Oryctolagus cuniculus: one gene and its partners. The protein of the gene in region 3 purifies or fractionates together with the protein of the main gene of each other region. This does not show direct contact. Links are inferred from orthologs where the notes say so. Each region holds a gene or a part of one and is shown on either strand. Other genes may lie near its edges. The genes, in order: AMOTL2, PATJ and PALS1.

What was found.
Region 1: the proteins of PALS1 (region 3) and AMOTL2 purify together in Homo sapiens (affinity purification with mass spectrometry; 3 studies listed by BioGRID and IntAct, counting the BioPlex papers as one, with this or other methods). This does not show direct contact. The link is inferred for Oryctolagus cuniculus from reciprocal best matches to the Homo sapiens genes PALS1 and AMOTL2.
Region 2: the proteins of PALS1 (region 3) and PATJ purify together in Homo sapiens (co-immunoprecipitation; 5 studies listed by BioGRID and IntAct, counting the BioPlex papers as one, with this or other methods). This does not show direct contact. The link is inferred for Oryctolagus cuniculus from reciprocal best matches to the Homo sapiens genes PALS1 and PATJ.

The regions. Positions count from the first base shown.
Region 1 is NC_091435.1:147,068,702-147,072,349, reverse strand, and holds part of AMOTL2 (angiomotin-like protein 2), read right to left. Parts: intron 2,941-3,648; coding exon 2,796-2,940; intron 2,501-2,795; coding exon 2,408-2,500; intron 2,243-2,407; exon of another isoform or gene 1,766-2,242; intron 506-1,765; exon of another isoform or gene 418-505; coding exon 122-417; intron 1-121. UniProt on the Homo sapiens protein: Regulates the translocation of phosphorylated SRC to peripheral cell-matrix adhesion sites. Required for proper architecture of actin filaments.
Region 2 is NC_091438.1:110,665,884-110,669,531, forward strand, and holds part of PATJ (inaD-like protein), read right to left. Parts: intron 3,341-3,648; coding exon 3,147-3,340; intron 1,280-3,146; coding exon 1,132-1,279; intron 164-1,131; coding exon 77-163; intron 1-76.
Region 3 is NC_091451.1:13,174,802-13,178,449, reverse strand, and holds part of PALS1 (protein PALS1), read right to left. Parts: intron 2,778-3,648; coding exon 2,706-2,777; intron 1,085-2,705; coding exon 917-1,084; intron 1-916. UniProt on the Homo sapiens protein: Plays a role in tight junction biogenesis and in the establishment of cell polarity in epithelial cells.

The DNA of each region.
Region 1 (3,648 bases), on a different chromosome or scaffold from region 3:
GACCATGCAGCAAAGGTTTCCCGGAAACCTCAGGAACCAGGCCCGGAACACCACACCCCGGCATCCGGCATCCTCGGATGCCCGCCCTTGCTCTGCTACCTGCATGCAGGCGTCCGCTCACCTGCTGTGCGCGCAACACCTTGAGTTCCTGCTCCAGGCGCGTGCGCAGCCGCAGCTCCAGCTGCTCGCGCTTCTCGCAGGCCGCCTGCAGCTGCCCGAGCGCCTGCTGCAGCCGCTCCACCTTCTCCACGTATGCCTGCTTCTTGCGCAGCTCCTCCTCGGCGCGGGCCGCCCGCGCCTGCGCGTTGCTCAGGGCCTGCTCCAGCAGCTCCGCGCGCCGCCGCTGGTCCTCAACGGCGCTGCGCAGCAGCGCTGTCTCCCGCTCCACCTTCTCCTGCTCCTGCTGCTGCTCGTAGCCTGCAGGGAGACGTGGCCGGGTCAGTGATGGCGACCTCCCCGACTGGATGAGCACAATTGCTTCTCATCCTCACAGCAACCCTAGGAGGTAGGAGGAACCCTCTGAAGCTTTGATTGGACTTGGTTCTCCTTAGTTTGAGCTTTCGGGCCACGTGTGGCCAAGGGCCTGCCTAGGACGATGAGTTCTGGGATGGGAGGCTGATGGCTTGGATCCCTGGCGTGTGGAAGAGAGGATGCATTGACTCAGGGGACTGGGGCAGGAGCCAACCCAGGCCAGCTCTTGGCTTGCTCAGGATCTTTGAAAAAAAAAAAAAAAAAAAAGAGGCTGACCAGAGACATCTGCACTGAGAATTCTGCAGCCCTCCGGGGTGGCTCCTGCAGCAAGGAATGGCTGCTTAGGGCTGCCCTGTACAACCTCTAAGGCTCTGCTGGGGGCTGGGAGGCTCGGGCCTTGGTCATCCCCAGCCAGCGGGACCCTGACAGAGCAGCCAGGGCCTAGCAGTGGGGTGCGGTTCCTGCGAGGGGGAGAAGGGCCCACAGGCCCCCCTGCCCAGCGTCCCAGCCTCCCTTGTGTCGCCCTGTCCCCTCCCAAAGCCTGGGCAGCGGCATAGAGCAGGGCGCCAGGCCGCAGCAGCGGGGGGAGCGGCTGGGAGCGGAACAGCCGGCTCTGGAATGCCAGGCATCCGGGTCACCCACAGCTGCCAGATTAATGGCTCCAGCCAGGAGCCAAGAACAGCCCGGCTCTGGCTGGCTCGCTCCCCAGGGAGCGGAAACGCCTCCCAGGCCGGCTGGATGGCTCCCCCTCCCTCCCCAAGCAGCCGCCCAGAAACCCGCCCCAGGACTTCCTTTCTGCTGCAGGGCCAGGCCCCCCAAAGTCCTCAGCTCCCCCAGCAGCCAGACCTCTCCAGACTCCTAGGCCCCTTCCCTCCCCCTCAACCTCCCAGGGGTCCCCCTGCCAGAGTCCCCCACAGCCATGGCCGCCCCAGCCCACCCTCATCCAGCACTGTCCTGCCCAGTGGCTTCAGCGCTGTTCCCCTGTCCCGTTCCCTGCTTTGGGCTTGAAACCCTCTCTGAGGGCCCTGTCCAGAGCTCCATTCTCGGGCTGCTTATCCACTGGACATGACCCCTGTGGTCTGTGCCACACATAGCAGCTCTCCTGGTGGACAGCAGCCATTGCCAGCCCACTCTGTCCTCAAACCCTGGAACTTCCCACGAGCTGGGCCATCCGCATTGCACCCAATGCCTCCTCACTTGTGGCCAGTTCACCATGCCCATCACCAGGGCTGCTCTCAGGCCACTGGGGACTCCCTCATCAGCACCCGCCCATCAGCGTTCTTGTTCCCTTCAGGCCTTGGGAACCTGCTCCCTCCACAGCCCACCAGTCTCCCCTGAACCTCCCAGCCACTTCCTGGGGCTGCTCCCACTCCTCTGCTAAACACTTGCCTGGTGCTTGGCACAGATCTGCAAGCGAACACATGGAGGAATGACTGAATGAATGAAGGGACTAGTTACTGAGCTCATCTGCCTTGCAGGGGGTGCTGGACTTCCCCTTCTGAGAAGCCTCTAGAAGCTCTTCTTCAGACTGCACCTGTTGGTGAAGCACCTGGACTGTCTCAGGTGCCCCCACCTGGCCGCCTCGTGGTCCACAGGCTCCTCCCTTCCCTGCACACTTACTGTTACCTGAAATTCCCTGGCCAACTCTCAGCTTCCTCCTGCAGGGCTGTCCGCCTCCCTCTGCCCGGTGCCCCTCTGTTGCTGACCAACACAGCTCTCACAAACACTGTCCCCCAGCTCTGTTCACCTTCCCAATAAATATAGAACCTGATCTTTGTCTTCCTCGAAAGCCAGCCCAACCCCCTACACATGCAGTCCCGGGCCTGCAGGTGGGTACCATTTGGTAAACAGCACCCCCAGCACTGCCGCGAGCAGCAGCGGTGCTGCCACTGCCTGCAAGTCGACCCGGCTTCCTCTTTGCGGGACCCTTACTTACTCTGAGCAAGCAGCTTGGCCACCATGTCCTGACTGCCGGCCTGGGCCTCCTGGGTCCTGCTCGCCAGACGGCGGTTTGCAGATTCCAGCCTCTCTGTTTGCAACGAAGGAGAGATGTTTTAGTCACAGGGAGCTGCTTGTCGGTGTTTTCCCTGGGGTCTGCATCGTCTAAGCTAGGGCTGAGCTCATTGGGATGCCCCTGGTTCCACTCAGGGCCCGATGAGCGACCTGGGCCACGCGGTCGGAGCTCCATGAGGGACCCCAAGGTACAGAACAGACAAGCCTCTGTCTACGAGACCTGGGCTCCTCCGAGTCGAGGTGCACTGATATTTTTCCCCCCAGGGAACATGAACCAAGCCCTCCACAGGTGCTCCCCAACTGGCTGTCACCTCTGAGGTCCCGGTTGAAGTCCTGCAGCCTCCTCATTTCGCTGTCCATCTTGTTCCGCATGGTCTTCTCCAGGGCCTCCCGCTTGGAGGAGGCCCTGGTCAGGCTCTCGTGGGCCTCGGACAGCCGCTGGATCTCGCTTTCCAGCTACGAGAGGTAGACAGCAGAGCTGAAGGGAAGTGAGAGCGCCAAGGGCGCGACCCCGGCCAGTCGCTGCTCTCCATCACAGAAGGGGACGGGAGCCAAAGCTCCAGGGGGCTACCGTGGGAAGGTCAGAAGCTGCTGGCCTCCACGGTGCACTGGGACTGCTGGGCACCTCAGCTCGGCTGTCCTAAGGACCAGATGCTGAGTGACCCCAGGGCCAGGACTCCGGGACCCAGAGTGACCAAACACAAACTTTGCTATGCTCACCATTCAGAAAGAAGCATTTTACTCCTGCTGGTTTCTGTCGGGAAGGCCGAGCATGCGGGCCAGCAGTGGGCACAGACTTCTGCCATGTTCAGGTGCTTTGACCTATCTGCCACTAACAGGCCACTCATCGAGGCCTGAGGCCATCTGCATACCACTGGTCACTTTTCACCAAGGAAGGGACCCCAGCACGGGGCTGAGCGCAGAGAGCCAGCCCCGCCCCCCTCCAACCCATAAGCTGTCCCTCCCACTTGGCCGCAGGCAGCTCCCGCACGTGCTCCTGGCCAGCCTGCTGCCTAACAAGTCGCTCAATTTTTTTTTTTTCCACGAGGAGGGGTTTTTCTCTTTGGCCAGGGCTGGCTTGGAACAGACAGGCTGTTGTGTGGGGGACACAAAGGGCTCTCTGTGGGAGGTGTCTGCGGGAGGGGGGGTGCAGGCCCAGGGTGC
Region 2 (3,648 bases), on a different chromosome or scaffold from region 3:
GTCGCTTGTGCAATGGGCAGAGCCCTCCCTGTGGGGGCAGGAGGGTGAGTCAGTCTGCTGGGAAGCCATCAACAACCTGACTGTTGTGCGATGTCTTCCTGGAGGCGGCCCAGGACCCAGCTCGCAGTCTTCCGATCTCTAGCTGCACAAGCCCCTGTGCACACTTGGAGGACAAGAATGGAACAGAAATGAACAACAGGTGTGTTTGTGTCCCAACACAGCACAGCACCGCCTCCCCTTCCCTCCGCAGCCAACAGCTACTACAGAGTAATAACAGCGACAGATGAAAAGGAGTCACCCCCAAATCCCACAAAAACAGCAGAAATCTGTGTCAGAAGGATTAGCTTTCAATTCATGTCTTTTTCCTTCTCCCTTCTGATAAAAAATGTTCATGCACAGCAAAATCATTAAGGAAATGTAGTACAGGAGAGGACAAAGGAAGTCAAAATGCAGATGTAACCTACAAACACAGTTCCTCTCCTGGGCGGGAACAGCTGGCTCTCTCAAGAGGTCATAATCTTACACCCAACGAATTTCCTCTGTCTATGCAAAGCTTTCATGGCTGTTTGTGAAATATACAAAATCCCTGCTCAGAATTGAATGGAAATTTACAAGAATTTTTATGAACCAGTTTCTTCCAAGCACGGCAGACACACTTGGAGGTGCATTTGGAACCTTACCACGGTTACAATTTCAGGGAGACAGCTTGGTTGGTGGGAAAATCACTCAAGCGAGCACTGTGATCTTTGGCTGTCATTTTTCAGACTTCATGTGTGACAAGGAGGAACTGGTCTGGATTATATTAAATGTTCCTTCAAGTCTTAAAAGCTGGATCTTATGAACTCATGATCGCGTGCTCCCTGACCTGGCCCCAGAAGGAGCTGCAGGAATTCTATATTCAGAGGACAACCGTGGAGACTTGGAATTCTCACAAGTGCGCAAAACTACCTTAGAAATCCCAAAGCCCTGCCAATTTGACAGAGCTTTCTTTTAAAGCTAATCCTGATCATTCACAATTGTCACAGATTAGAGTCTCATAAAGCCCAACCCATTTGTTATCAAGCTAGGCTGGAACAGATCCCCCCACCCTGTGGTGGTGCTGGCTGGGCACACGGCACCGGTGTGACTCACCTTGAGGACAGTGGCCACCGTCTCCTGGGAGGCGCTCCTCATGTCATCCCCGTTCACAGATAAGATCTGATCTCCCTGAATCAATCTCCCATCCAGGTCTGCAGCGCCTCCTTTCACGATGTCGGAAATAAACACTCCGCTTCCGTTTCTGTTAATACCATAAAGCAATGGCGTGTTGGCACAGCCTAATATTTCTTTTGTAAACATTTATTTATTTTAAAGGCAGAGTTATAGGGGGAGAGAGAGGAAGGAGGAGGAGAATGGGGGGGCAGAGAGAGAGAGAGCGAGCGAGCAAGCCTCCATCTGCTGGTTTATCCCCCAGCGGCTGCAATGAGTGGGGCTGGGCCAAGAGGAAGCCAGGAGCCAGAAGCTTCATCTGGATCTCCCACATGGGTACAGGGGCCCAAAGACTTGGGCCATCCTCTGCTGCTTTCCCATGCATATTAGCAGGGCGCTGGATTGGAAGTGGAGCAGCCAGGATTTGAACCGGCACCCATAGAGGATCCTGGCATTGCAGGCTGTGTCTTAACCCATTGTGCCACAATGCTGGCCTCACAACCTAATATTTCTTAATTAAAATCTTAGATCACTAATTTTCTATATGGGTTCACTAAATTCTAAAATGTGGAAGCAGAGTCCTACAAAGCCATAGAATTACTAGTTCAATCATTTATGGTTATTTATGTTGCCTGTTGTAATATTAATTTTCATGGGCCCAAGGCCATGATTTCTTGAAGATCATCATTTTAGTGGAGTGAAATGGGAATTCACTTAAAACAGTGGAGTTACGTACTCTTAAAATGTATCGGTTATTTTCTTAGAGAAGATTAGTTTCACTCCCAGCATGTGATCTATTTCTAGTCACTTTTTCTCCTTTGCTATTTCATTTTTTTTTAAAGACTTCATTTCATTTATTTGAAAGGCAGAGTTACAGAGAAAGAGAGTTGCTTGATGCAAATAACTATTTTCTAATAGAAAACTGTCACGAATCATTTATACTTGTCTCTCAACCATGTTTCCTCGATGTGTTTTAACATAGTGTAAAATTAACATGGTATTCCACGCCAGAGCAATTTCCTTTTTCTTTTCAAATTAAGAAAAATTTTGTTTTTTCATTTTATTTGAAAGGCAGAGAGACAGAGGACAGGGAGAGACAGATCTTCTATCTGCTGGTTCACTCCCCAAATGCCTGCAACAGTCACGGCTGGGCCAGGCTGAGGCCAGAAACCAGCTTTTCAATCTGGGTCAGATTGTGCCAGAAACTGGGGCTTCCAAGGGTACACATTAGCAGGAAGCCAGAATCAGAAGTGGAGCTGAGCCTAGAACCACGCATTGCCATGTGGGATGCGGGCACCCAATGCCTGCCCTTGGAAGCAAATTTTCTTAATCAAACATTGTGCAGGGCGGCTGGCACTGCGGCTCACTAGGCTAATCCTCCGCCTGCGGCGCTGGCACTCTGGGTTCTAGTCCTGGTTGGGGTGCCAGATTCTGTCCGGGCTACTCCTCTTCCAGTCCAGCTCTCTGCTGTGGCCCAGGAAGGCAGTGGAGGATGGCCCAGGTGCTTGGGCCCTGCACCCTCATGGGAGACCAGGAGGAGGCACCTGGCTTCTGGCTTTGGGTGGGCACAGTGTGCCGGCTGTGGCGGCCATTTGGGGAGTGAACCAACGGAAGGAAGACCTTTCTCTCTGTCTGTCTCACTGTCTAACTCTGCCTGTCAAAAAAGAAAGAAAAAAACATTGTGCAGGCCAACCCGTGCTATCTTGGGTATGTAAGCCACAGATCGAGGTAATTCCAAGTTGAAAGAACCTATAAGGAAATGTAACAGGCTAGGTTGACTGGGCATGGAGCTTTATAAGGAAACGACAGGTTTGTTTGTTTGATACCGCACTGCTCAGAAATACGACCTATGTTGCTCAAATATTCACAACGGCTTTGGAAATCATGCCCCTGGTTTACACTCAGCTTCACCTCTCTGAAGGAAAGGGCCAGTCGTGACTCACGCAGCGCGTCCTCACCGTTTCCCCACGATGCTCAGGCCCAGGCCGCGGCCGGCCTTCTTCTGCAGGTCCACGGGGAAGATATCTAAGTTCTCTTCGTCCCTGTAGTGCGCCTCATCCCTGTACACCACCAGCCGCACCTTCTGCGGGGTCTGCCTCAGGGCCGTGATGGCTTCTTCGTGGCTGCAGCTCCTCAGGTCCACCCCGTTGACCTGGAACAAGGGCATCCTGAAATGGGTGGTGGGCAGCAGGGGCCTTTCTGCCTGCTGGGTTGGCTGGAGCTCACTGATCCAACCCGTGAAAACCTCCAGAAACCTTTGGTCCCTCCTGAAGCTAAAGAGGTAGGGCGCACTGGCAGCGGGAGCTGCTTCTGACACAGAGCAGGGGGCGGGAGGGAGGGCTGGCACACCTGATAATGGTGGTTTCATGTAACTGTGAACTTCACAGGGGAGAGAGAGAGAGAGGAGCAGGGAGTGAGGTGGGTGCCAGTGAGCCCCACTTTGCCTACTGCATTTGACAG
Region 3 (3,648 bases):
TAGAATTACAGAGAGGAGGAGAGACAAAGAGAAAAAGAAAGAGGTCTTCCATCCACTGGTTCACTCCCCAAATGGCCCCAACAGCCAGTGCTGGGCCAGGCCGAAGCTAGGATCCTAAAGCTACTTCTAGGTCTCCCATAGGAGTCTAGGGGCCCAAGCACTTGGGTCATCCTCCACTGTTTTCACAGGCACGTCAGCAGGGAGCTGAATCGACAGTGGGGCAGCTGGGTCGTGAACCTACCTCCATTTGAGATGCCAGCATCACAGGCGGAGGCTTAACCTGCTATGCCACAACACCAGCCCTCCATTTTTAAAAATTAATTAATTAGAGAGGCAAAGACTGACAGAGCTCCCATCAGCTAGCTGGTTCACTCCCTAAAAGCCCTGGAGCCAGGAAGTCAATCCAGGTTTCCCATGTGGTACTTCAGCTACTTGACCATCACTTGCTGCCTCTCAGGTTCTGCACGTTAGCAGAAAAGAAGAATCAGGATTAAAGCCAGAACTTGAACTCAGGGACTTTGACATAGGATGAGTATCTAAGGCACCTTAACTTCTATGGCAATCACTCTCCCCTAATTATCTTAATATGTTTTATGCTTCCACTTTAAAAAGCATATATACATATACAAATATTTGAGAGGCAGAGTTATAGACAAAGAGAGGCAAAGATTTCCTGTCTGCTGGTTCACTCCCAAATGGCCGCAACAGCGTGAGCTGGGCCAGGCTGAAGCCAGGAGCCAAGAGCTTCTTCCAGGTCTTTTTCAAGAACAACTATCTTTAAAAAATTGTCAAACATCTGGTTAAACAAACATCCTCTTTCATTGACAACCTTGATGAAATATCTCCCTTCACAGTTACGTTCCGAGGGTGCAGGTAAATTGAGTAGACAGGAAAATGGGAGCGCATCCAAACTTACGAGGAACTGCAGATGCAAAGCGGTCCTTTTCTTTGTTCATGAGCCTCTGACGCAATTCATTCTGGCCACAGTTCTGTGGACCGATTAGAATGATAGGTCTTTTCCTATTTGCTGGCTGATGGTAAAGTGACATTTCCTCATAAGTTAAGATCTCCTCATTGTCATAATCTTTGGAAAAGAAAAAGTTAGCTCTTCAGACAAATTAGATTACTGCCATATAATGATATACAGATCTGTCCCTCCTCACCCTACCCCCAATTATGGACACTTTATTATCATTAAAATACTTAACTTTTTGGATCAAGATGGTAGTAGATGGTAGTACTATATCATGAGCATTTTCCCATGTCCTTATAGCTTTGCCAGGACACTAAGAAAATGAATCTAACAATATACTACTAATCTTTTGAGAATTTTTTTACAGCTTATCTTGTTTCATATTGTTTGAATGGCTAAAAAAGTTGTATTGACCCTTATATAAATTAATGAGAAAAATTATGTCATTTTTGTACAATGCAGATACTTCTACTCAAGAGGATAGTTTCAAGGATCAGACAGAATGTACATGCTGAGCACAACAGCTGACACAGGTATTTACACACTGCTATAACCAGCTATCAGAGAAGCTGGAAAACTTTCCTGTAGTTGTGTAACTTGTTAACAGGTCATACTCATGCTATTCATACTTTCTGCATTTATATTTACTTTATTTTGGAACACTATCCTAGAGTCATGATGGGTGGGGTAACATTCCTAAAGCCCATTATCCAGATGAAATCAGAGCTGTTAAGTGGCAAGAAAAAAAGCAGACAACCAGCAGTCTGCCTTGCCCTCACTCCTATTACTTCACCTGACTGGGACGCAGCAGCCTCATGTATGAGACCCAGTCAGCACTAGATTCCACAAGGGCAGAGACCCATCTTAGGTTTGTCAGCGCTCAGCAGAGCCTGGCCCAGAATAAGTGTTCAAAGCAACTGTTCACAGGTTCTGTGCAGAGCACTGGCAAAGCTACAGATACACAAACCAAATTTGTAAATCAAAATGTTACCACATTATAAATATTATAAATATTGGAAGAAACCTGGTATTTTTGAGAGAAACATGTGCTGAGAAGGGAATTAAATATGCTGCTTATTAAAGTGGCTCAAATCTCAGATTTAGCTTTGTGTGGAATATCTCAACCATCCGTAAACATTTTATCTTCATTAGTGTATAAGAAACTGGGAGTGGTGGAAACTATTTGACTAAATAAAAGGTGCCCAATGGTAGGGCAATAGCCATCTGTCAGGTCCAGGGGACTTGTCATTGGGAATACAAGCCCAGGGTCATCAGAGCTTTTGATTTTAAGGGCAGCAATGACTTTAAATCTTTTTAATCTTAATAGTCAATTAAAGAGTGTGCCTCACTCAGTTAGTGGGCTCTGTGGAATGGATTGGCTCTGTAACGTGAGTTATGTTTTACTTCAAATACATCTGTTTTTAAAGAACTTGTTAGAAGCAAGTGTTAATTTTACAGGTTTAAATAATAAAAAAATGGAAACCATCAATTTTATACCACATACACATATACTACATAGTACTCTAATGTTTATACCATTTTCCCCCAATTATACACTGCATTACTCACGGGACTCCAAAAGAAAATTCCTACTGAAAAATTTTCTCAAGCACATATTCCATTAATAGGCAAAATGGGACTAGAAATAAAACTTCATGAAAATATCAGTTCACGTATTATTAGATTCAGACCCCTTCAGATATAAATTCCACCACCTGAGAGTAGAACTTACCATCATTTTTATTGGCATTATATAAAACCTTTTTCCTTTTCTTTTTATTTTTCTTTGCACACCATAGTTTTCCTGTTGAGCAATCAAATGAATTAATAAATATGGCATGTTTTCTTGAACAAAGTACATATTTTAAATAATTCAAATTGTTTAACAAGTTTTTCAAAATTTTTTTTCATTTTATTTGAAAGGTAAAGATACACACACACACACACACACACACACCCCTCTTCCATGTGCTGGTTCACTCCCCAAATGCCCCAACCATCTGGGCTGGCCCAGGCCAAAACCAGGAACCAGGAATTCAATCCTTGTTTTCCACATGGGTGGCAGGGTCCCAAGTACTTGAGTCACTACTGTCTGCTGCCTCCCAGGGTGCACATTAGCTGGAATCAGAAGTCAAGCTGGGACTTTATATGGGAGGTGGGTATCTCAAGCAACATGTTAACTGCTGTGCCAAATGCTTGCCCCAATTAATTTAAGTGTATCTACTCTTATTAAACTGTTCATAGATCATTTTTTAGTCTAGCTTTCCATAATAATAAATAATAAATAATAAAAAAATCTTTAATATCTAAATTTTGTATTTTTTAGCAATTTATTTTATTTGAAAGAGTGAGAGAGAGAGAAAAATGAATCTTTTATCTGCTGGTTCCTTTCCCCAGGCTGAGGCCAGGAGCCTCAAATTCCATCTGGGTCCTCCACACAGGTGATCATTGGGCCATTTCGGCCATTTTCCATGCTTTTTCAGGTGCATTAAACAAGAAGCTGACTAGAAGTGCAGCTTCACTGTAAGTAGTGGCTTAACCTGGCATATCACATCAGCCCTGTGGTCCATTCTTTATAGTCCTAAGGAAATCACTTTTGTTTCTCACATCACTCTTTTCACAAATTTATTTCTTAAAAGTTCTGATACACAAATTTAAACATGATTAAAGACGAA